Rhinolophus ferrumequinum: one gene and its partners. The protein of the gene in region 3 interacts with the protein of the main gene of each other region in a biochemical or structural test. Links are inferred from orthologs where the notes say so. Each region holds a gene or a part of one and is shown on either strand. Other genes may lie near its edges.

The links.
Region 1: the proteins of PTX3 (region 3) and CFH form a complex in vitro, tested with the Homo sapiens proteins (3 studies listed by IntAct, with this or other methods). The link is inferred for Rhinolophus ferrumequinum from reciprocal best matches to the Homo sapiens genes PTX3 and CFH.
Region 2: the proteins of PTX3 (region 3) and FCN2 interact in a biophysical measurement, tested with the Homo sapiens proteins (2 studies listed by IntAct, with this or other methods). The link is inferred for Rhinolophus ferrumequinum from reciprocal best matches to the Homo sapiens genes PTX3 and FCN2.

What each region holds. Positions count from the first base shown.
Region 1 is NC_046310.1:3,403,731-3,411,650, reverse strand, and holds the start of CFH (complement factor H), read left to right. Parts: upstream 1-4,904; 5' UTR 4,905-5,166; coding exon 5,167-5,224; intron 5,225-7,920. UniProt on the Homo sapiens protein: Glycoprotein that plays an essential role in maintaining a well-balanced immune response by modulating complement activation.
Region 2 is NC_046295.1:81,808,831-81,816,559, forward strand, and holds the start of FCN2 (ficolin-2), read left to right. Parts: upstream 1-4,679; 5' UTR 4,680-4,958; coding exon 4,959-5,052; intron 5,053-6,579; coding exon 6,580-6,693; intron 6,694-7,296; coding exon 7,297-7,350; intron 7,351-7,727; coding exon 7,728-7,729.
Region 3 is NC_046285.1:81,822,004-81,829,368, forward strand, and holds the start of PTX3 (pentraxin-related protein PTX3), read right to left. Parts: upstream 3,036-7,365; 5' UTR 2,860-3,035; coding exon 2,730-2,859; intron 2,273-2,729; coding exon 1,871-2,272; intron 1-1,870.

The DNA of each region.
Region 1 (7,920 bases), on a different chromosome or scaffold from region 3:
AAGGCCAACAAGCCTTCATTTAGAATTTGATTTTGGAGAATTTTGCAAAAAATATCAAAAGGTATAAAACACTTGATTAAATAGGATCATAGGTCGCTGTGAAGCAATACTTCATTATTTATTTAACCAAAGTGACAATTAAAGACAGCAAAGGCAAATACGAGGAGTTATATAGTTGTGAAAACAAAACAACAAAAAAAAAGAGCTCTCTTAATGGAGAAGAATCCATTTTCTTAAACAAGCAAAGACCTGATAAAGACCTCATGAAGCACAGGAAATTATTCCGATAAACACAGAATCTTTGTTTTCTAGGCAGATTACGTAAAACGTAAAGATAAACCTTTCATAATCTTATCAAGAACAGACCAACAGTCCAAGAAAACTCCATCCTTTTAGCAGAGGAAAGAAAATTCAGTCTCAGTTTTACAAAAGTACATTAATGATATTAAAGCTAATTTTTTTCTCTAACACAATTAAATAGAACATTTTTTTTTACCAAGTAATTTTGACAATACCCTCCAGAGATAGAAAAAACATCACATATACATGATGCATATCCACAGACATATGTAGACAGACAGACAGACACAACAGAGACCCCACAGCTTTCATTCCTAAACTTTAGCCATAAATACAGGACCCACTCACACGGCCAAAGCTTTTTACCAATGTTTGTGGATAAGACTTTCAAGATTTGTATTTGCCTTTGACAAATAATCTTATGTAGGCTGTGGACCGGATTTGGGGCAGGGAGCTTCTTAGCCGTCTGTATTTTGTAAAGCCTCTTTCTCCCCACTCCTTTTTTTATCTTCAGTCTCTGTGGGCAAATCTCTCCTGCGGTGTTTACATTTCAAAGAGATGACAAGATTTACAACTTCAAGGGACAGAGAAAAGATGCAAGTTTCCCCCTAGGAGTCTTAGGGTATATTTCTCTATTATCAGAAGTCTAGGGTGATTGCTATTTGTTTTCCTTTGTATTAGGGCTGGGACTGCATGAGGCCCTCCATCCTTCTCGGTGTCAGTCACCACAATGCCCTCCCCTTTGCTCTCCTCACTTTCCCAGGGATTCTTAGCGTCCTAATCAGGCTTTGTCACAAGAGTTCACACTCTAATCCTGGGCAGCTAGTGCCCCTTCAGCTTTGAAAAATGTCATGTGACGGTCTTCCACTTGACTTGTCATCCTGCTTTCCCACCTTGTCTGCCAGCCAGAAGCCAGCAGAATCATGGACAAATGCTTGTTCTTCTCTAACCGCAGCTCGTCTTCCAACTTTCTAATTGAGCTTCAGCCTCTAGTTGGGTGTCAGTGGCCAGCCAAACTGCCTGCGGTCGAGGCTGACACTGCAGCAGCCATTCGTTTATCTTCTTGGCTGCAGAGCATGATACAATTCCTCAAACAAGCACATTAAAGCAGCTGGCGCTTGGGGAGCATCCTGTACTCACGTGGTGGTCTCCCAGCATCTAATATATGGACCACCCCTCCCCGCACAGAGGTCAGTGGCCACCTCAGAATTTCCGCTGTGGATGCCTCTTTCCCAAAACCCATTTCTTCTGTCTCCTGTCTGGTTTGCCAGTTGTTGATTTGCAAACTGGCCCCTGTACACAGAGGGCAGGTAGAGACAGAAGAAAGAGGTAGACGGCTCCAGATTGGCAGGTGACAGTTCTAATAAGCAAGGGCACTTACTTACAAAGATGGTTTTGGCGTTTGCAAGTCCAGTAGGTCTTCACATCTCCCTGCCACACCTGAAAAGTCCGTAGAGAGGCCCTAACTGGGTTCTGCCATGTCTACTGGCAGCATCCCGATGGTTTCAACAACATGCTGTTCTCGCAAGGCTGTGTCCTTCAAAATAGCTCCCACTGCGGGAACGGTGGGCAGGGCGCACTTCCAAGGACAAGAGGGCAGCCCAGGTCCAGCTCCCCGGGCAACCGACGGTCACATCTTCTCACTCCCTCCCTTGCATTGCAGCACCCAAGTAGCTTTTGATATGATGTAAGTCGAATCAGACATCTAACCTACTGAAACATGGTCATGTACCCAGGCTAATTTTTACAGATGTTTTATTCCTTTTGACCCTTGAGTACATGTCAACATTTAAACAAATGTGAATCCTAAAGTATCGTTCCATATTTGAATTTCCTTTAAATGATGACACACAAGCTGACCTCCTTGGTTATACTGTGTTTCCCCGAAAATAAGACCTAGCTGGACAATCAGCTCTAATGCGTCTTTTGGAGCAAATATTAATATAAGACCCGGCTATATAATATAATATAATATATAATATAATATAATATAATTAATGTAATATAATATAATGTAATATATAATATAATATAATACCGGGTCTTATATTAATTTTAAAGGATGCATTAGAGCTAATTGTCCAGCTAGGTCTTATTTTCAGGGAAACACGGTATTACCTGGGTTATTAGTCATTTGCTTTCAACTAACTACACACCGTAGGCAAGACTTAATTTTTTTCCCCAAGAAATAAAAATTTCTGTCTGATATGTTGCATTACATAATTTGTCAGATATTTTTAGAAGGGTTAACTTACCAAAACAAATGCTAAAATGCAGCTTAGTATCATTACACAAACAGTTGCATTGTGTCCCTATGAGTCCTCGTTAGAGACGAGAAAAAGACCAATTCCAAGAGTTTTCTTTGCTCAGAGCAAAAATGGGTAACAATGTTTGGGAATAATTCACAGTTAGAGTCAGAAAGATTGGTGACCCTAGTGTTGAAATGTCCAACTGTGGAACCAGACAGCCTGGATTCTAATCTTAAGTAAATCACTTAAGTCACTTGCATAAAAATAGAAGGATCATAGTATTTTGTAAGGTGTATGAGGGAACTAAAGTAGGTTATACATTTAATACAGCTCCTGACACGTAAAATGTAATCATTAATCAGCAATTGTTGCTAGATCAGTAGAGCTTGGAAAGTTGAAGCACTTTCGGTCAGAGCCAAACAAGTGACCGCTCACAGATTCTTAATATAGCCCAGGAAAGACTCAGAAATGTGCAGTTATGTCGTGTGCTGTGCCCTGGATGAATGTCTGGGAACCTGGGAAACTGGACATGAGAAAAGGCAGCTGGCATGGCAGAGACAACTAATTTTTTCTGAGGGCTGAAAGGTTTTCTGAATGTCCTCCAACGGCACTGAGGAGGTTGCCAAGGAGATGGTAGTTTTTTTGTGTGTTTTTATTCTTTTTCCTCTAAGAGGGTGAATGATTTGGAGAGTTTGCAATATAGTTTTAGAAAAGCACCTAATAAAATAAATGCAATAAATAGGAATGGAGGCCCTTGTGTGTTTTCATTTCCTCCCAAATAGAATGAAAGAAAATGCACCATTGTCGTTCTTCTATGCAAATTATTAACTTGGATTATGCTAGCAGTGTCCCCTTGGGAAGAAGTAAAGGTACTAGCCTTTTAAGAAGTGGGAAAGGGAACTCTAGAACTCTTAAAAGGCTCCTCTATGTAAGTGAGGAGATATCCTAAAATAAATCGAAAAAGATGACCTTTATCTAGCTTATGCATTGTTTGTCGTGTAATCAAGGAGGAAAGACAAAAATTGCCTATGCTCTAGCTTGATCAGAAGTAGAAGTCAAGTACTGGATTTTTTTTTAATTGACTTAACTTTAAATTTAAATTTAAATAGTATTAAGTTGTTTGTGGCTGCCATTATAAGTATGATTCAGAAGCCATAGCTACCAAGGACCTATCATAAAACAATAACAACAAATGTCATGCAGTGTTTAGTTTCAGGAATATCAAAGGTGCAAAGAACTGTCCCTTTAAAATATGTCCTTAAGGCCACACCAGGGGATTTAGGTGCTGTAGATTTCATAGTATAGACTGACCTTGATTGTTACCTGCCACTTTTAATACTGCACTGTAATCAGGAAAGATCCAAATTTGTTGGATGTTACATATAATTTGAAAGTACCTCCCTAAAAAAGACCACAAACTGAGAACAAAAATTAGGTTGAAAGTAAATGTTTACCTAAAATTAGAGGGAAAAAAAGGAAAATTAAAATTAGAAATGAATTATTATACTCCTAAATCACAAAGTTGAAAAAATTGACAATACCACAAACATTATAAAAACTAGACACTTAACATAATATGTCTATTCATTAACTCTATCATACCTTCAATTTTTTACATTTTTGGTCGAACACTCTTTGGATTATCTCTTCACGTGACACAATTTTCTAATTTTCCTATATATAGGAAGTAGAAAAATAATTCAGTCTTTTCTTTAGCATGTTTGATTTTAAATCTGTTACTTATTATTGAAATATTAGACAAGTCTTTCCAAGTTCACAACTGATGATTTGTGTCCTATAAATTTTCAGGGTTGTTGTCACATTTTGGAAAACCTCTGTCAAGTTTTCCTGATATAATGGACTATAAGATTTCAGGGCATTAAAAGAGTTCATATGCTTCGGCTAATGCTAAATAATTCTTTGTAAATAGTATTGTAAACTAGTTTGCTCTCAATGTCACCACTGTAGGGACCAAGTGCCTAGTCATCGTGAACCTGTTGCTTCCCACACATTTATAACAAGTCTTTAGAAGACTTAATTCCATGATTGCAGGAGAAGCAGGCCTCCCCCAATCAGCCAGCACAGCGTTCTCGGCCAAGTTCACCCACGTCGTCCGGGGCTCAATTGTGAAAGCATTGCCTAAGCTCCAGTTCCATAATGATTTTTTAAAGAGTTGCTATTATTTCATCTCCTGATGTTTCCGCACAATAGACCTGAATGGGGTTTGAGTAATAAGGTTTATGAATCCAGAGGACATCATCACCAGTCACTGCTTTGCCCATTCCAGGAAACTGAACAGGTTCCAGGGAAAACTTGCCTGGGTTTATAAAAGCAAAGCAAGAGCAGGTCACAGTGTTAACACTCGAAAGGGGACACAGGGAGAGCCTGTGAAAACTCGGGCACTGCTGGGGCCTGTGGATGATTTTTTTTTTCTTTCACTTTGTAAACGTTTCTGATGGGCGGAGCATTTAGTCATCTCTTCATTTCCTAAGCTGTGTTTCAACTTCCTTCTGGAGCGAGTCCTTTCCTGCACTAATCACAACTTTTTACAGAGCAGAACCTGACAGTGTGTGAGCCAGTGTCAGTTATTAAATGTACCCCTGACAGATCCCCCAAAATGAGATTTGCAGCAAAAATTCTGTGGCTTATGCTATGGACGGTTTGTGTGGCACAAGGTAAGAGGAAAAAAGAAAAACTTTTTTTTCTGTAACTGTGTTATCAAACATTTGCTAATGTGCTTTCCATTGTGGTAATAAAAATCTGGTCTAGAAAATGTGATTGAATTACTTCCCTGTAGCTTACTGTTTGAGTGACTTTTGACATTATGAAGTTTAAAACATGTAAGCAGCTTATTTGAATGTCGTTTCTGATTATTTGGCACAATTTAATTTAATGTAGAATTCCAGAAAATGTCTTAATAAATATTTTTGAAAACTATAATTTGCATAATCTCTTCCCTTGTAATTGTCATAAAATATAATGTACTTTATTTGCTTAGAATTTTCAACAAAATGCTTTATGTGAAAGTATTAAGAAGTAGGTGACTATAGATAGAACCAGAACATATATTAGACAATAAAAGCCTCCAAATCATATAATGGTTGGACTTATTTTAGATAAAGAATTTAATTCTTCCTAAAGAAATATTCATTTATTATTTAGAGCTGATGTTGCCTTGACCTTAATAGTTTTGTAGACGAGCATTACTTGTATCATTAGAATGAAAATATTATATAAATTTGAAAAAATAATTGAATGTGCAGTCTTTGTAACACCTGAGTTGTCCAACAGGATTTTTTTTTCCCGTGGGTCTATATAAGATACATTCTAGAAGAGCACTCTTTAGGTATAGTGAATGAGTGTGGGAATTTTTTTCTGATATCAGTAAGACAATTTCTAGATTCATAATTAAATTTAATTCTATCACTATTTCTCGATAGATTATTAATCTTGGAGGAAATTTGCTTTCCCAGTTCATGATAGGTAATTATGTGATAGTAGATGGACATTTTTAAACCAAATGAATTACATAGCATTCACATTCTCAAAACTTTTCTCTAACTCAACAAACTTTGAGTGAAATTCTTATTCACGTCAGCCTCTAAGCATTGAGGAATATTAGCAAATAACACAGAACCTCTGTCCTGAGGACTTTTCCATCTAGAAAATAAAGGCACATATCTTTTTTTTTTCAATTGTATCCTTTAGTAATGTATTTGCATTTATTCAAATGTGTTTAATATTTTTTGAACACTAGAGCCTTTTGGTAGTTATGCATTCTAACATACTAGAGCTTGATTTTTAGCTTGTACACCTTCTTTCCAGCCACTTTTTAAACTAAGTACATCATCATTTCCCTGCACATATGAATATGACAGTTAGTGTTCAAAAGTGAAATTATTATTTATTGGCAGAGAGTTCCAGAGCAATGTCAGTGTTACTACATAGTCATTACAAATACCTTTTTCTTTGCATAAGTTTGGTTGTCTTTTCTTTAATAGGACTACTTTTTGCCTTTCAATGTGTACATATTGTTTGCTGAGGTTTTGTGTAGATACCATTTGTCACGGTACGAAGACTTGTTTTATGTCTAGCTCATGTTTAAAACTGAAGGATCATGCCAATTTTCATTAAACCATTTCAGTGATTACAAAGTGGAACTTGAAACATTATATAAAATTGGGTGCTACAAAGTATAAGTGACAAAAATTAAATAAAAGGGGTTTAAACTCCTTTCTCATGTAATTGATTCCAGGGTACTTACTTCACTTGTGTTTTATATTTCGTCGATGTTTCTTTAAATGTGGTGGTTTCTGCAGGTGAATTGAGCCCTATACACTAGGGGTGCCAAAAAAAGGTGTATACATTTTAAGAGATGTTATGTATGTTCAAGCAGTAGTTTGCCGTCCTCAAAAGTGTCTGGACACTGACGGTAACCACTCTGAGCACCTCTTGTCATTACAGAAGTCAAACGTGACTTATATTCATCTTTTATTATTGGTATATATTGAGTATTACAATTTTAATACAGTTTTCTTTTCTTAAAATGTATACATTTTTGGCACCCCCTGTATATTACAATAAGAATGACTTTAAGTCTGGCTCCTTTTTAACAGATAAAGTATAACTTTCATAGTTAAAGCAACACTTAATGATTTTCACAAATGCACACATAATGCACAAGCTGGTAGAGAAAGATGACATGAATTTTCAGTGGATGGAAAATGGCTGTTGTGTTTTTTATTTGCCAAACGGTCCTGAAACTAAATTGGCTTACTGTGAGTTATTATAAGTTTTTATAACTTTTCTGCAACAGTTTTAGTAGGGGAAAGGTCAACATGGATGATGAAGAGGTTAAGAAACAGACTATGCAGTTCTGGAAGAGGTATTGCCAGGTAAAATAGGTCTGATGGATGAAGTGTTACAGAGAGTGCAGGATGCAGAAAACAGCCATAGGAAGACTGCGAGAGGGAGCCCAGTGCCCAAGCAAGCCTTGTTATTTGAAGTTGAGGCATATGCTGGAAATGCATATGCTCCTCTTTTGCCTGCATAAATGTTAACCTCGACCTGAATGGTTTAAGTATTGCCAAAATTATTCTTAGCCAGAAGTAAGTTCCCAAATATAACTGGAGGCCCAGGTTAGTAAAGATTCTTCATTTTGGCTTTGATTGCGATAGCTGGAACCAAAGTCTAAGTTGATCCATTTTTGTTTGCTCAATCCCTGATTGATTCTGCAGCCTGTGCCGATTTCCTCCTTCCCGCTGTGCCTCCCCCTCCTCGCCACACACCCTCCCCCACCTGCCTGGCCTGTGACATTCTGCCAACCAGTCCATTCAACTAATGTGCTCTTCAGCCATTTCTTAACAACTTG
Region 2 (7,729 bases), on a different chromosome or scaffold from region 3:
ATTGCTCAAGGAAGGGGAGGCTTATTAGGCTGGGACTTAGTGTCAGAAATCTAGGCCACTGCAGTGGCTGGAGGTTGGGGTGGAAAATCCTGAGAACAGGAACCATATGGGGAAAACCCTAAAATCTGCTTACAAGACTCTATTACCGTTGGCCGATGATGGCTGGTCTGAGCGTGCGTGAGGTGAGCGGCAGTCACCTTCCTGGAGGGAAACCGCTGGAAGGCTGTCACAGCCGAGGGAACATGTCAGCACTTCCCAATGTCAGGGAGGCCGTCTGCATTCAAGTCCCATCATTTTACATGGATGTGATAGACACCTCAGGCTTTTGGTTGAAAACCCAGAAGACCAGATCCTTAAGTAAAAGGACAGTATCCCAGGACGAAACTTAACCCCATGGATTAAAGACAAAATAGAGCCACCTGAAGAAGCCCAGAGCCAGGACCCCCAGGATCACAATGACCCCCGCTGCCTGCCAGCACCAGCTCAGCTCCCTTCTGAGGAAGAGCACAGGGGCACAGTGTCTCGCACAGAATCAAGACTTACTAGACACACAAAAGAAGGGGAGTGTGACCCATGATTAAGAGGAAAAGGTCAATGGAAACAAGTGAACAGGGCCTTAGATGTTGGAATTCACAGACAAGGACTTCAAATAAGTAGGACAAATATTTTAAATAATATGGATGGATATACCATGTTTCCCTGAAAATAAGACCGGGTCTTATATTACGGTTTGTTCCAAAAGACGCTTTAGGGCTTATGTTCAGTGTATTTCATCCTGAAAAATCATGCGAGGGCTTGTTTTCCGGTTAGGTCTTATTTTCAGGGAAACACAGTAATAGTTGAAGAAATGGGGGATTTCAAAAGAGATAAGGAAAGTCTAAATATGAACCAACTACAAATATTAGGAATAAAAATTGCAATATCTGAAATAAAAAAAAATTCATTGAATGGACAATGCAAAAAAGGATTAGTGACTATGAGAATGTGTTGAGTATGAAAACATGCTGATCCAGTACCCAAGTGGAAGCGTGGAAAACAAAGGTTATCAAACAGGTGAGGAAGGCCGGCTGTAATTACCAAAGGGAAGGTGTCAAGCAGACCGAAAGGGTACAGTGGGCATCCAAAGAAGAGAGAGAAAGAATGGGGCAGAAGAATATTTGAAGAAACGTTAGCCAAGAATGTCTCCGTTTGACCAATAGAATGAATCTCCAGTGAAACCCGCCATTTCTAAGGTGAAGAGAGACAAGCATTCCTCATGTAGAATACAATTCTAGCACAACTATGATTCCACAGTGGAGGTGACATAAAGACACTTTCAGGTAAGTGAGAGCTGCGAGAGGTTGTTGCCACGTTCCTAGAAAGCCGGGAGTTCGTTCTTCTGGCTGATGGGAGATGATGCCAGACGGAAAGGCAGACCCTTAGGAAGAAACGAAGCAAGAATGGGAAGTACGAGAATGTGTATCAAATACTCCTTCCTTCATTTAAAAATGTTGTCAAGAGACAATTGACTTTAAGACAAAAATAATAAAAATTCAAGGTGGGGTTTATAGAACAGCAAAACCTATACCCACAGTAGGAAGGATTGTGGGAAGATTCATCCATGACATGCGAAGTGCTGTCGTGGTCACTCGAGGGGGACAGTGATCCTTGAAAGATGCACAAGGAAATTCCTGACAACCACTAAATGGAATACAAAGAGGTTGAACCAAAAGTCAAGGCAGGGGCAGCACAAAATACTAAAGCACAACCACATCCAACAAGTACAGTCGGTGTCGAGAATCAGCTGAGAAGAAGGAACAGGGCGTGTCGGCATGGACGAGAAAAGCGCGTGTCAGCAACACACCAAGCTTACAGGAAACGCACAAATAGGATGAAAGTTCATGAAAGCAAAAACACACACGACGCAAGCAGTGACCTTGACAAACGCCCTCTCTGATAGTCTCAGCCCATTGTCTCGATGCTCAGCAAGACAGTTTCCAGTCACTCACCAGGCTGAGTGTCCCTGGTGGTCACACGGTGGTTCACGGCCGACCAAAAGTGGGCTGAAGGGTGAGAGACATGTGAACGCCAGGGCCCACGCTGCCTCTGCAGCGTCCCCCATGTTCTGTTCCCCTCCGGTTGGCGGGACTGCAGATGACCCTCAGGATAGGGGTCATGAATGGGAGGTGACAGACACAGGCTGGAGGAGGTGTGGGTCCGGGGTCGCGGCTCAGAGGAGAGGTGCTGGCCGGGAGCACCCATATTCACCTGTTAGGACGATTGCGTGTGAAGTCACAGAGAGTTCTGCTTTTACGTCTTGCATTCTGATGAACCGTTGACAATATACTCTCTGTATTTCCTTTGGAGTGCACACTGCTTCCTCGGGGATCGGATCACACCATTTTTCTGTATGTGTTTGTCTATTTGTTTATTTTCTGTCTTCTCTCAGTAGAACCGGTTCCAGGAGGGCAGAGACCTGTCTGCTTTGTGTCCCACAGTGTCACAGGGCACAGACCAGCCTCTGGCACATAGCAGGTGCTCACTAAACATCCCTCTCTCCCTTGCTTGTGAAGCCTAGTCCCCACGCACTAGCCCCTGGAATGTTTCTGGAGTACCAGCAGGAACAGAATTCTGAAATTCGGGAGTGAGGACAGACCCCAAGCGTAAGGCAGCCAGTGACAGGACTTCAACTTTTGATCATTGTCCGTGAGTCAACCCTTCACTTATGTGGGTGGCCTTTCGGCTCCAGAGGGACCCTTGGCAATGTCTACTTCCTGTGTAGGGGCCATTAGAGCTGCCGGTTGTGAGTGAAGGGGACACTGGGCCAGAGGCCGAGCTCCTGCACCCTTCACCCTGGGGGAAAGCGGGCACCTGCACTGAGCCAGAGGGCGGGTGTGGGAGGAAGGGAGGGGCCTGTGGGGAGATCAGCGGCCCACGCTGTGTGGCCCCAGGCAGCCTCTTTCCTTCTCTGGGCCTCAGTTTCCCCACCCATAACAAGTGGTTCCCTCAAAGGCACAATAGCTGAGCTGTGCCCCACCCTTGCGACGCAGGCTTGTTTCTCCTCGATCGTGTTTCTCACTAAGTGTTGTATCCTTTCTTGCACGGAGAAGATCACTCAGTGTGTCACCACCTTTTAAAATTAATTTAAATGTCATTTGTTCAGTTTACTAAACGTATAACTTCAAAAGTCCAATGATTCCTTAAGCATTTAAGTTTGACTTGTAAACTTTATGTATAACAGGAAAATTTTAATAACTTCCTTCAAGGGACCGATGAATACTTCTTGTTCCACTCAGTGACTTAGTTAATTTAACAGCTGTAAGCATTTTAATTGCATTTAGAAGATGAATATACTCAAATTTGTGCTGCAGCGTTTCAGTTGTCTACCTTTAACAAAGCCTCCTGAGGATAAGCTAATTTTCGGAAATCTAATAACATAAACATGGCATGAACTGAACTGCTCCGAAAATGGAAGCGCGGTAAGACCTCTAGTACGTCACTAGCTTGTTCCATTACTCAAGTTCACATTTTCAGTGAGCTTATTAGGTTGTCACTCTAATAGGACCAAATGCTCTTAAATATCGCCAACACTCAAAACACCAACTGACAGATTCCTTTATGCTAAAATATCAACACTGCGATTTTGAGTGTCCCGAGCTGTCTGCACTCAGTGGGAAGCTCGGTTCAGGAGCTAGAAGTCCCCACGACAGGCAGACAGACTGTCACACCCGTCTTCCAAGGCCCCTTCCCTACAACGCTTCCTCGCCCTAGAGGCCTGTGTCTCCTCCTCCCCTAGGAAGAGCATTTTAGTCCTGAATTCTAAGCCACAGGGTGGTTACCCATTTCCCCTGAGCGGCTCCCGTCTCCCGTGTGTGCAGGAAGTCAGTGTGTTCGTGAACGTGTTCTCCTCCTGTTAGTCTCAGGTTGCAGGACTCAAGAACTCAGAGGACACGGGGCCTTTCTTGTCCTCCCTATGATAGGGACGTCACAGTGTCCGGCTCACGGACCCCAGGGACTCTGAAAGGGGACAGATGGAACCTTGATCCTCACGTGGTTTCGTCGGACGTGGGGTCAGGATTCTAACGTCACACCTGGACGGGGGCTGTTGGTGGGTGGGATTGGGGGCACAGACCTGCCGCCTCCGTCTCTAACTGGACTCAACCCCAGGAGAGAGCTCCCTTCAGGATGTACCAGTTCTCTAGGGCTGTGGAAAAGGCATTGAGACTCCTGGTCTGCCTGGTCCATCCCTGGCTGGGGTGGGTGTCAAATGGCCCTCAGGGCAATTTAGTGCCACCTCCGCCGCCACTCCCCCACCCAGCCTGAAGCTGCCCCAGTCTAGTTCACGTCTGGCCTCTTTATAGTGCTGGCTGGACTGGCACTTGTCTGTCAGTGTCCCGGGGCCAGCCCCTAGCCGTCCTGGCCTGGCCTGGACGTCCTCCCCCAGGTCACATCCATTGCAGTCAAAAGCCACCCCCCCTCCCCAGACGTTATGCTCTCCTCTCTCTCCCCTCTAACCACCCTAAACGCCCAGGGGACGTCTCAACCTGTGTAGACTTGAACGCATTGTATGCAAATAGCCTCAGTGGGGTCCTGCCAGCCCTGTCCTCAGGGAAGGTTGTCGACAGCTCTGCGTTAGGAGGGGAATGGCTTGGGCTTCTCTAAAGACACAAATAGGCAGGCGGGCCGGCCCTTCCCCACACTGGACCTTGGGACGGCTTCTTGCTGGGAAGAAAGTGTCCCAGCTAAGGGGAACTGGGGTCAGTACAGAGGAAGCTCACTAAACAGCTGCTCACTCAGTAGTGTGTGGGGTGTGGAAGATTGTCCTCTGAGGCATCTCCACCTTCGGGTGACGCCACAAGCTTGGGGGAGGAAGTGGCCGTCCCCACGTCTGTCCCCACCAGGGTGACAAATAGAGCCAGAGGTTGGGGTGGCTGCAGCCCTATAAGACAGAGATCTCCTCGGCCGCCAGGACCAGCACGATGGAGCCGAGCAGAGCAGCAATGGCCATGGGGCCCCTCGTGCTGGCCATCACCTTCCTGTGCACTTCAGCCTCCACTGCTGACACATGCCCAGGTGAGTCAGACGCCAGGTGAGTAGGACCTGAAAATGGTCAGTTCTGAGAAATGACAGCCTCCACTCACGGACGACCTACTGTGTACCAGTCCCCATGCCTTTTCGAACATTCTTTTCTTCCTGAGACAGCGTGTTTTAAGCACTGTCTGCAGGAGTTGCTCCTCAGGTTTTCCACGGAGGAGCGAGAGTCCCACGGCACAGGCTGTGTGAGGAGGCAGAGCCGCCCTGGTAGATTTTGTGTCATTATCACCGGCACTGAGAAATGGCCCAGAAGCTCCCACCAAGTGCTGTGGGACTTATGGTCTGGGACCTTCCTGGCTCTGGGGACAAGCAGATCCCACTCTGTTCCTGAGGTGACAGAGCAAGGGTGACATTGTCCCGAAGGGCTCGAGACCTCCGTCCCTCGCCCATTGTCTCACAGGCCTGGTTCCACCCCCTCCCGCCTGGGGAGACTCTGGACCCGGTGCTTCTCAATCCCACTAGAGGAGGTGGCTGTGAGCCAGGACCCGGGGCCACCATGAGGGGCCTCGTGTGCCCTGCTGTCACTAGCCTGGTCCAGGTGGGACTGACTGGGAGGAATTGTTTCTACCATGTAGAGTGGAGAAGAGCCGGAATGAGTCAGGAAGGAAACACACATGGGGGCCACTTCACTGGTAATATCATGGGTGATAATTTTCTTCCCTAAATGTGTCTTATTTTCTAAATGTCTAAAATTGCCAAGTATTCTTTTCTAATGAGCAAACATTAAGGATTATGAAAATGAAGTCTACATTGGTTCTGAGGAGTGAGGACCAGGCAAAGACAGACCAAGTGACGACCCAGCTGGGGCCCCACTGGGGCACGGCGTATTTCCGTATTCACTAAGCTGTCTCTTAGACGGGTGTTTTGGTTTTGTAGTCAACACACTGAAACTCTGAGAAGTAAATGAATCTCTGGTCCCGGTTCTGCCGGACGGATTTCCTCTGTGTCCTAGGATCAAACGCGTCCCCTCTCCAGGGACCTACACAGACCCCTTTCAGCTGAGGAAGCCCCTGGTCACGTGCCCAAGGATTGCGGGTGACAATGCTATGTTGACCCAAATGCCCCAAGTCTTATAAATGTTTATTGTTATTATTTATTAAAAGTATCCGCTGTTTATGAAGTTCTTTCTAAACACCATGATTTATACTAAGGTTTTTTAAATGTGCATCATCCAGGCTAACCCCCCCAAGCCTCAGTCTTATCCCCACTGGCAGCCGAGGGGACAGAGCCCAGAGGGGCTGAGTGATTCGCCCGAGGACACACAGCGCTGAGGAGCTGGGTTCCTCAGGGAAGGAAGGACTCCAAGGGCTCTGCATGTGTCACTCCCACCGCCCAGTGTCCACCAGAGGCAGGAAAACCTCACTTGCAGGCTGCCCCTCATTTGGCGACCGCCATCAGCCCGGGCCTGAGGTCACCTCGGTGGCAGATGCCCTCAGATGGGGCAGCCTGTTTCCGGCTGTCCAGGGCCCTCAGGTCAGCACTGACTGGCCCTTTGTGTCTCTGCAGAGGTGAAGCTGCTGGGTCTGGAGGGCTCCGACAAGCTCTCCATTCTCCGGGGCTGCCCGGGGCTGCCCGGGGCCACAGGGCCCAAGGGAGAGGCGGGCACCGCAGGAGGGAGAGGTATGTGCAGGGTGAGGGGGGGGGCCCCTGAGCTCTTGCCCTGTTAGAGCCATGTCAGAGTTGGGCAGTGGCCCTGCGGTCTCAGGTGGGAGCTTGGGTCTTGCCCTGCTCAGAGCCAGCGTCCACCCGGGGGTCTGACACTCCCTTAGTTGGGAGCCAGTCTCTTAATCACCTATCGAGCTCTGTGTGTGCTTTGGCAAGAAATAGTGTTGACCCACCCCTGCTCTATGTGGACGTGGCAAGACCCTAATTCTATGTCCCTCTGTAGTGTCACCTGAGCTCTGGGGCTGAAAGTTTCCAGGTACAGACTTCCGATGGGGACACTGAAGCCATGGAAATTAGGCAAAGTCCCCAGGTTCTCTCGGTGTGGGGCAAAGCTGGGACTCGGGCCCCCAGTTCCCTGGGATAAGCTCCTAGTCTCCAGGTCGTGGCCTCCGACGGGACCCCTGTGAGGATGGGGTCCAGGCACCCTCCCTCTCGTTCTGCAGGGTCCAACCTGGGGGGCCACAGCCACAAAAATAACCAGGAGCAGCGACTCCCAGCCTGGGGATTCGGGTCCTGGGACTGGGAGCTGGACTCAGTGATGTGTGTTGGAATTTGCAGGAGAACGAGGTCCCTCCGGAGTCCCTGGGAAGGCAGGACCGCCAGGGCCCAAAGGTAACAACCTGATGGAGAGGAGAGAGGACAACCTGGCAAGAGAGAGAGAGGAGAGGGCACTTCTGGGCTGTGACAGGCATCGTTTCCAGGGAGCCAGACCCTGCCCCCCGGACGCTCGGCTCAACCTGGGGCTGGGTCGGTGTCAGAGCCCCTGAGGGAGCCAGGACAGGATCCTGACCTTGGCCCAGCACTGACCCCTGGCCCTGAAGGAACACGTGGGTGTCTGTGTGCCCCACCAGCTGTCCCCTGCCCCGACCTCACTCCAGCTGAGGGAGGGGTTTGGGGACAAGACAAGCCCTTCTCTGGCTGACCAGGCGTTCGGGCATGAGCTGTGCCATCTCCCCGCATGGGCTGTGCTGACCCTTCTCTCTCCATAGGA
Region 3 (7,365 bases):
TTTCAGTAAAGTAGTGTTCAAGAGGGTGCCCACTGCAATCTAATTAACTGATTTCCTGTTTAAATAAGCCCAGGCAGTCAGGACTGCATTCCAAAGCATTCCTTGATTGCCTCTGAGACCCCGTTTCCCCTGTAGGTGGCACTGGCCATGTGAGTTCATGGAGTGGAACTGCATGTTGGCAGGTTTTTTTTGTGATTTCTTTAGGGGACCAGTGATTGAGACTCTTGGTATCTCTTTAAAATGTCAGAAACTCTCTCATGAAATGGCTTTTGACTAATAGGTTTTTCTGATTATGTTATCAAAGACCAAACAAAATGAAAACCAGGTTCTTAGGAGGCCAACAACAGAATAATTAGGAATCCCTTAGGAGCCAAGCTGGCAGAAAACCAAGAGAGGAAAAATCAAAGCTTGTAGGTAAATGTGTTATATTATTGAATATAATAAAAATTAACATTTTAGAATTTAGAAATACATCCCTCTTCTGTTCTAATATGCAGAGGTGAAGATGAAAATTAAAGTAATTCTTGTTTTTCTGGTACATTATATGTACGATGACTTTATATGGCTTGCAAAAGACAAGAAATTTCATTCATTAACATAGCCCCAGAATTATAATTTGTCTCCTGGTCACTTACATTGAGGATTTATCTTATATGTGATTTTATTCTTCCCCCCCCCCAAACCTTACTTAATATTTAAGAAAATATACTCTGTACTGATAAACAGTCCTCAAATTTTTAGGAAAGACTAATAATAGTCTAGTATGGTTTCTATAATTTTAAATGAAATATGCTCTGACACATGCTCATGAGTCTTCCTCATACTCCACCCAATAAGAGTTGTTTTACTGGAAATAGAGGGAAGGATAGTACTGCAATTGTTTTTGGTTTCTGAGACTCTCAGGAAAAGTGCAAATTATATTTTCTTACCTAGGACACAGATTTTCTAATATAACCCACAAATGACTGTTACATCACTGTTTCTTAGAAATTTTGACTTACAAAGGAGTGTTACTTGGCTCCAAATATCTTTATTTTTTTAACCATCTTTAAAATGTATTATTTCGGACCCACATGAATTGGAGATTCATGGAATATCCCATGGGACTCTGACAAGTTGCATCTGGTTTGAACCACCTCTCTCGTTTGGTCCTGATCCTCCAAATCCCTGGGGTGGGGCCGGGGTACCATTGGCTCCTACACTGACTGTTACACTTTGGATCCCTCGGGGGCTGGTTTATTCCAAAGCGCGCACTCTGGGATCTCTAGTCACCAGCTAATTCCACAGACTCCGGAGGCTGGGGCCTCTCCACTAATCCTTCAGGAGATCAGATTCGGCCTCGAGTCCCTTGCTCAGACCCGCAAAGAGGAGAGGCGAGCCCAGGGTGGGCCCCGAACTTTAGGCTGGGCCCTGAAATAGCGCGGAGAACCAGAGCTCCCCTAAAGAGAGAGGCAGGCTAAAATTAGAAGAAGTGGAAATCCCGAACGGAGGGAAGCTGGACGGCTAGAGAGGTCACCATTATAACTGGCCCATAGAGCCCCCGCAAGGCCTGGTCGTATCAGGTGTCAGGGGCCCTTGCCTATTTCAAGACTATGACCGTCCTGTCCTCAGCTATCTTGGGGGTTCCGTGGGACTGGAGAATACTTTTTTAAGCCAATTTCACCGCCTTGCGTGGTGTGTCTGACTCTGTGACCGTGCAGGAAGAGATAGAGGCGTGTGTGTGTGTGTGTGTGTGTGTGTGTGTGTGTGTGTGTGTGTGTGTGTTTCTCCCATTAAAGCTTCCTCTGGACGGCGGCCTGATTTGACTTCCAGTAACGCGCGCTCCTAGAACAAAGCCGCAGGGCTGTCCCTACTAGGCCTGCGTCCTTACCTGCCGGCAGCCAGCGCCGGGCCGCCCATCCTTGCACGGCGCGGAGGTCCGCTCTCGTTTGCCGCAGCTCTTCGAGCACGGCGCCCAGGGCGCGCCCCGCCTCCTCCGGGCGCTGCGCTTTAGCCCCCTCAAGGAGCGCCAGCCTGCGGCTCGCGTCGCGGCTCTCCTGCAGCAGCTCAGCCAGCACCCGGGCGAGCCTGGCTTCCGCGGGGGCCGCGGGTGCGCACGGCCTCTGCGGGCTGTGGGTCAGCCGGCCCAGCTCCTCCCGCAGCCTTCGCAACTCGCCCCGCAGGATGTCGTCGGTGGCCTGCAGCAGCATGCCCTCCCTCATCTGCGAGTCCTCCAGCATGATGAAGAGCTTGTCCCACTCGGAGTGCTCCGAACGGCAGTCGCACGGCGTGGCTAGAGCGCGGGAGACACACAGGCATTACCAACCCGCCCAGGCCTGCCTTGGATGTGCTTTGTAAAAAGATGACCTCCCTCGGTGGTCCCAGGTTACGGCCCGACCCAGCACTCCCCTTTCCTGTAAGGACACCTCCGAAAAAAACAGCGTGTAAATATCTCGAGAATGACAGAAACCATTCGTGTAGGTATATATTAATTTGAACTCTGTGAAATTACCGTTCATGTAGCTCAAAACGGCAAATTTCGGCAATTTCATACGGTTCAACCCATTATATATCTGGGACAGAAAGAACTTTCTGAAACCTCCCCCTTTCCTAAAGTGCTTCTCTCTTTTGCAAAACAAACTATAATTTTTATCTCGTTTCATTGGCTCCAAACTATATGTATAAATTTTAGACCCAAAGAGGTGGGTGTGTAGTTAGGCTTAGCAGAGAAACAGTTAAAAGGAACTTACGGTCCTCAGTGGGATGGAGTCCATTGTCTATTTCGTTGTCCAAGTTCACATACATGAGCTCATAATCATCGGAGTTCTCGGCGCGCACTGCAGACCAGAGAACACAAAATAGAATCGCAGAGAGATACATTGCTGGAGAGAGACAAAGTTCTTCCGTGACTTCCCACCGCTGGCAGGCGGGGACCAAGCGAGAGCCTCTCCAGTGAGCTGAGTTTGAGCAGAGGAGAGTGAGAGTGAGAGAGGCAGGAGCCCAGAGCCCTTAATAAACGCTGGGAAAGCCAGAATGGGGATGAATGAGTAATGCCGGTGGCACTGCAGTAACGGGAGTTCCCCTGAATTTAGCGGGGGAGGGGGCTGGGTGGGAGGGCGAGAGAGACAGGGAGGTTACACAATAGTAAACCACAAAGGTTTACACTGCAGGCAAATTAATTGGAGGAGGGTCAAAGGGGAAAGAGAGGGAAAATGGGCTAAAACGGTGCCCCTGAGGAGTAGCTGTTATAACTTGAATTGGTAGCACTGAGGGATGAAGGGGGGAGGGGTAAGGAGCGAGGTTAGGGGAGAAATAATTCAGCAGGCATAGAGGTGTGAAAGCAAGATCGTCATTTCAGCGTTTTGTGTGCGTTTTTATTATTTCACAACCCGTTATGTACAGAAAACTTTTTTCACTTCTTTGGAAGCAGTTTTACAGGTCTAAGCTGTGAAACTTACTCTCTGATTCCAAGATAAACCAACTTAGAAAGAATTTCTGTGGCTCTACAAGCCAAGTCCATTCCAAGTTATTCCATCTTGAATCCTTCTGGAGTTGCAAGTACACTTTTATAAACATACATTTTTAAATGACAGCACAGCAAAGCTGGTAAACCTAACATGAGAAAGAGATGCAGGAAAGGAACAAACTGATTTTAGGTATGTTTTTAATAACCTTAATATTATGTGAAAATTATATTATTCCACTAGGCTTAGAGTCAAAGGTCATGTTTTCAAAGTAAATTTAGGTATTCCTTCTGTCAATATATGGAGATCTATATAAGCTGAAAACTCTTCTGTACAAAACACCTAGAACTGTGTTTAAATTATAATAAAAAGAGAAATTTTAAATGTACAAATGAGTTCACCTCCCCCTGACCCCCAAAAAAGGGAAATACCCAGTAGCAGAAGATAGAGAGGGAACCTAAACCAGAATGGTAAGGCCAAAAGCTGATGCTAGGGCCCCCCTGGAGAGGGTTATCAGTTCTATAACAATCAAAGTGTTAATGACCATGTGGGAGTAAAGCTTAGGCCAGGGTGGGAGTTAGAAGTGAGACCCTCACCTAAAGCAGGACTCTCAGAGAGTTACATATTGGATTTCAGTAGGCATCGCCCCACTCTGCCCTAGCATGAGAAAGTGAGAATTAAGCATGTCTCTCTTTGTTGGAACTCTACAGAGTCCCTAAAAGTTTGTGACTTTGGGCCTGCCTTCACATGTTTCAAATTGAAATGTATGCTATTTGCCAGTGTAAAAAAGAAATTCACAAAGGAAAATACTTAAACATATGAGGAAATAATCCACCATAAATGACAATCAGCAGAAACCCAAAAGGATTAGACACTCCTCCCTCAAGAACTTCAGTTTTTAAAATATCAGCTAGAAACTAGAAAATAAGTGTGTTTAAATTATTTAAGATCTACCAAAAGGAATTGGAAACCTGATAAAAGAAAAAGATTAGGTGGATTTTTTGAAGAACCTAATATAATTTCTAGAATTAAAAAAATAATAATTGATTTTTTTTTAAATCTCGAGAAATGGGTTAAATGGCAAATGAGGCAAAGCTGAAGAGAATATTAGGGAACTGGAAAAAAGATCTAAGAAAATAATCCAAAATGTACTCTTTAAGTTGCGTATACTAAAATCTTTTCATTGTTCAGCAGGATGATAGAGAAATTAATTAATTTTGTTTTGTTAGTTAAAGAATGTTTATCTTTTTAGGGGTGACCACCGAAACCAAAGGAAATAGAACATCCAAATAGAAGGAATAGAGGGAATTAAAAAACAAAACAACTTGATGTATTCAATAGAAAGCAGTGAAGGAGGGAAGAAAAACATAGAGCAAGATAAATGAAAAAGCACAACATAATGTAGTAAAAATAAATCTAAATATACCAATAATCACTATAAATATTAATGAAATAAACTTTCCAATTAAGAGACAAAGGTTGTCAGATAGGTATAGTTTTAAAATCCCCAGCTATATGTCATTTACAAGAGCCATATGTAAAGCATGAGAATCTAGAAAGGTTGAAAGCAATAAATGTAAAGGAAGTGGGGAGGGTAGAATATATTGAATAAATGCCATTCAGAAAAAGCTGACATAACTATATTAATATCAATTAAAAATAGATTTTAAGACAAAAGAGAATTATTAAATTATGATAAAAGAAACACTTTACCAGGAAGGTATCTCAAAATTATCTAGTGAGGTAGTTTCAAAAAATATATACCCAAGATTCACAGAATAATAAGGAGAAATTGACAGATCCATAACTAAGTCTATTTCGATCATAACTGATCATTCAATACCAAAAAGAAAAAAGAAAAAAAACTGCTACAAGGTACAGAAACAAACTATATAATTTAACGTTCAACTTAGTGAAATACATAGAGAATCACCCAGAAGGTTTCATAAACAAGTTTAAATAAAGATTCAAGTAACTCATAAATGCCATCTTACCAGACTGCTTCTGAGAATAGAGTGTGCAGGAATGTGGTAAAATCTTTTTATATGTCTAGTAAGTATGAAACCAAAATGAGACAAAGACAGTACAAGAAAGGGAAATTGCAGGCCAGTCTCATTTAAGAACATAGATGCAAAAGCTCTAAATAAAATATTAGCCAAACAAACCCAGCAACATATGGGTACAAATACGCCAGAACCAAGTTGAATTTATTCCAAGACCACAAGATTGATTAAATGTTAGAAGATCTATTAATTTATTACATTAACAATTTAAAGGAGAAATCACATAATCATGTCAACAGATGCAGAAAAGTCATTTAATAAAATTCAACACTCATTCATGTTCAAACTAGGAAACAGAAACTTAAACTGATAAAGCGTAAATACCAAAATCTATAGAAACATATACATACATAATGGTGAATCCTTAGAAACATACTCTTTAAAACAGGGATAACAAAAGGGTACTCATAGACACTGGTTCTATTCATCAAAGTGTTGAAGGTCCCAGACAGTAAAGTAAGACAAAAAAAAAAGGGGGGGGGGCAACATAAGGAATAAAGTTGAACAGAAAGAAACAAAAAGCTGTCATCAATTATTCTGAGTTAATTATCCATATACAAAAAACTTAGACTCTAAAGACAGATTATTAATAAGAGAATTGAGCAAGTTTTGCTGGATAAAAGATCAACATACAAAAATCCGTTGCTTTCTTACTATCAGCAGACAATTGAAAATACACACTTAAGCAAGGCTTCCATTTACAATAGCAACAACAAATATGGGATACTTAGGAATCAACTTAATAAAAAAAAACAAAGTACAATATTACATACTTTATTGACAAATGTAATATATGTATATATATATAATATATATATATATATATATAATATATATATATGGAAAAATATATCACGTCCTTGAGTGAGAAGACTCAGTTTCACAAAGAAGTCAATTGTCCTAAGTTAGTATATACATTCAATGTGGAAGAAAAAAAATCTCAATCTAGTTTTGCAAGGAAGTTGACAAACTAATGGTAAAATTTATGTGAAGGAGCCAAGAAGAATTTGAAGTACAAAGTGAAAAATTTTGACCTATGAGATACAATGATTTATTATAAAGTTGTAAAGAAAATGTGTTATTGGTGAAGGTATGATAAATACCCAGAAACTGACCCAGACACATGGGACACCTTATATATGAAAGGGGTATTACAAATCAGAAGGGAAGCAATTGACTACTTAATAAATGGATCTGGGACATTTGTTTGTAAACATGCAAATGATATATAAGTAGATACCTTCTTCACATGTACAAAAGTAAATTCGAGATGGATTAAAGACAAATATAAAAACAAAATCATAATGTTTTTAGGAGAAAATATAGGAGATTGTTTTAAAGGAACTTAGGGTAGAGAAAGACGTCTCAGTAACAAATAATAATAATAAAAATAATAATGAACCATAAAGTAAAGAAATTTTAAGAATCATCTAGATTAAGACTGCAACTTTAAAATTGATTTAAAAAAAATCTGTGTCTAGAATAAATAAGGAACTGCTACAAATCAATAAGAAAATACAAACATTCCAATTGAAAATAGGCAAAGGACATGAAGGCTAAATCACGGGGAAGGAAATGAACTCTAAACATATAAAGAGAGTGCTCACAAGTAATCAAGGAAATGGAAAATAAAATAGAAAACTGTGGTATCCTCTGACACTCCATCAGACTGGGAAAAAACAATATCTGTCAAGAGCAAATGTTGGCAAGGATGTGGAGCAACAGAAACACCTATTGCTCGTAGATATGGAAATTGTTGTAATCGTGACGGTAGGCAGAATAATGCCCCCCACCAAACATGTCCACATCTTAATCCCCACAACCTGTGAACATGGTACATTTTATTGACCTGAAGACGG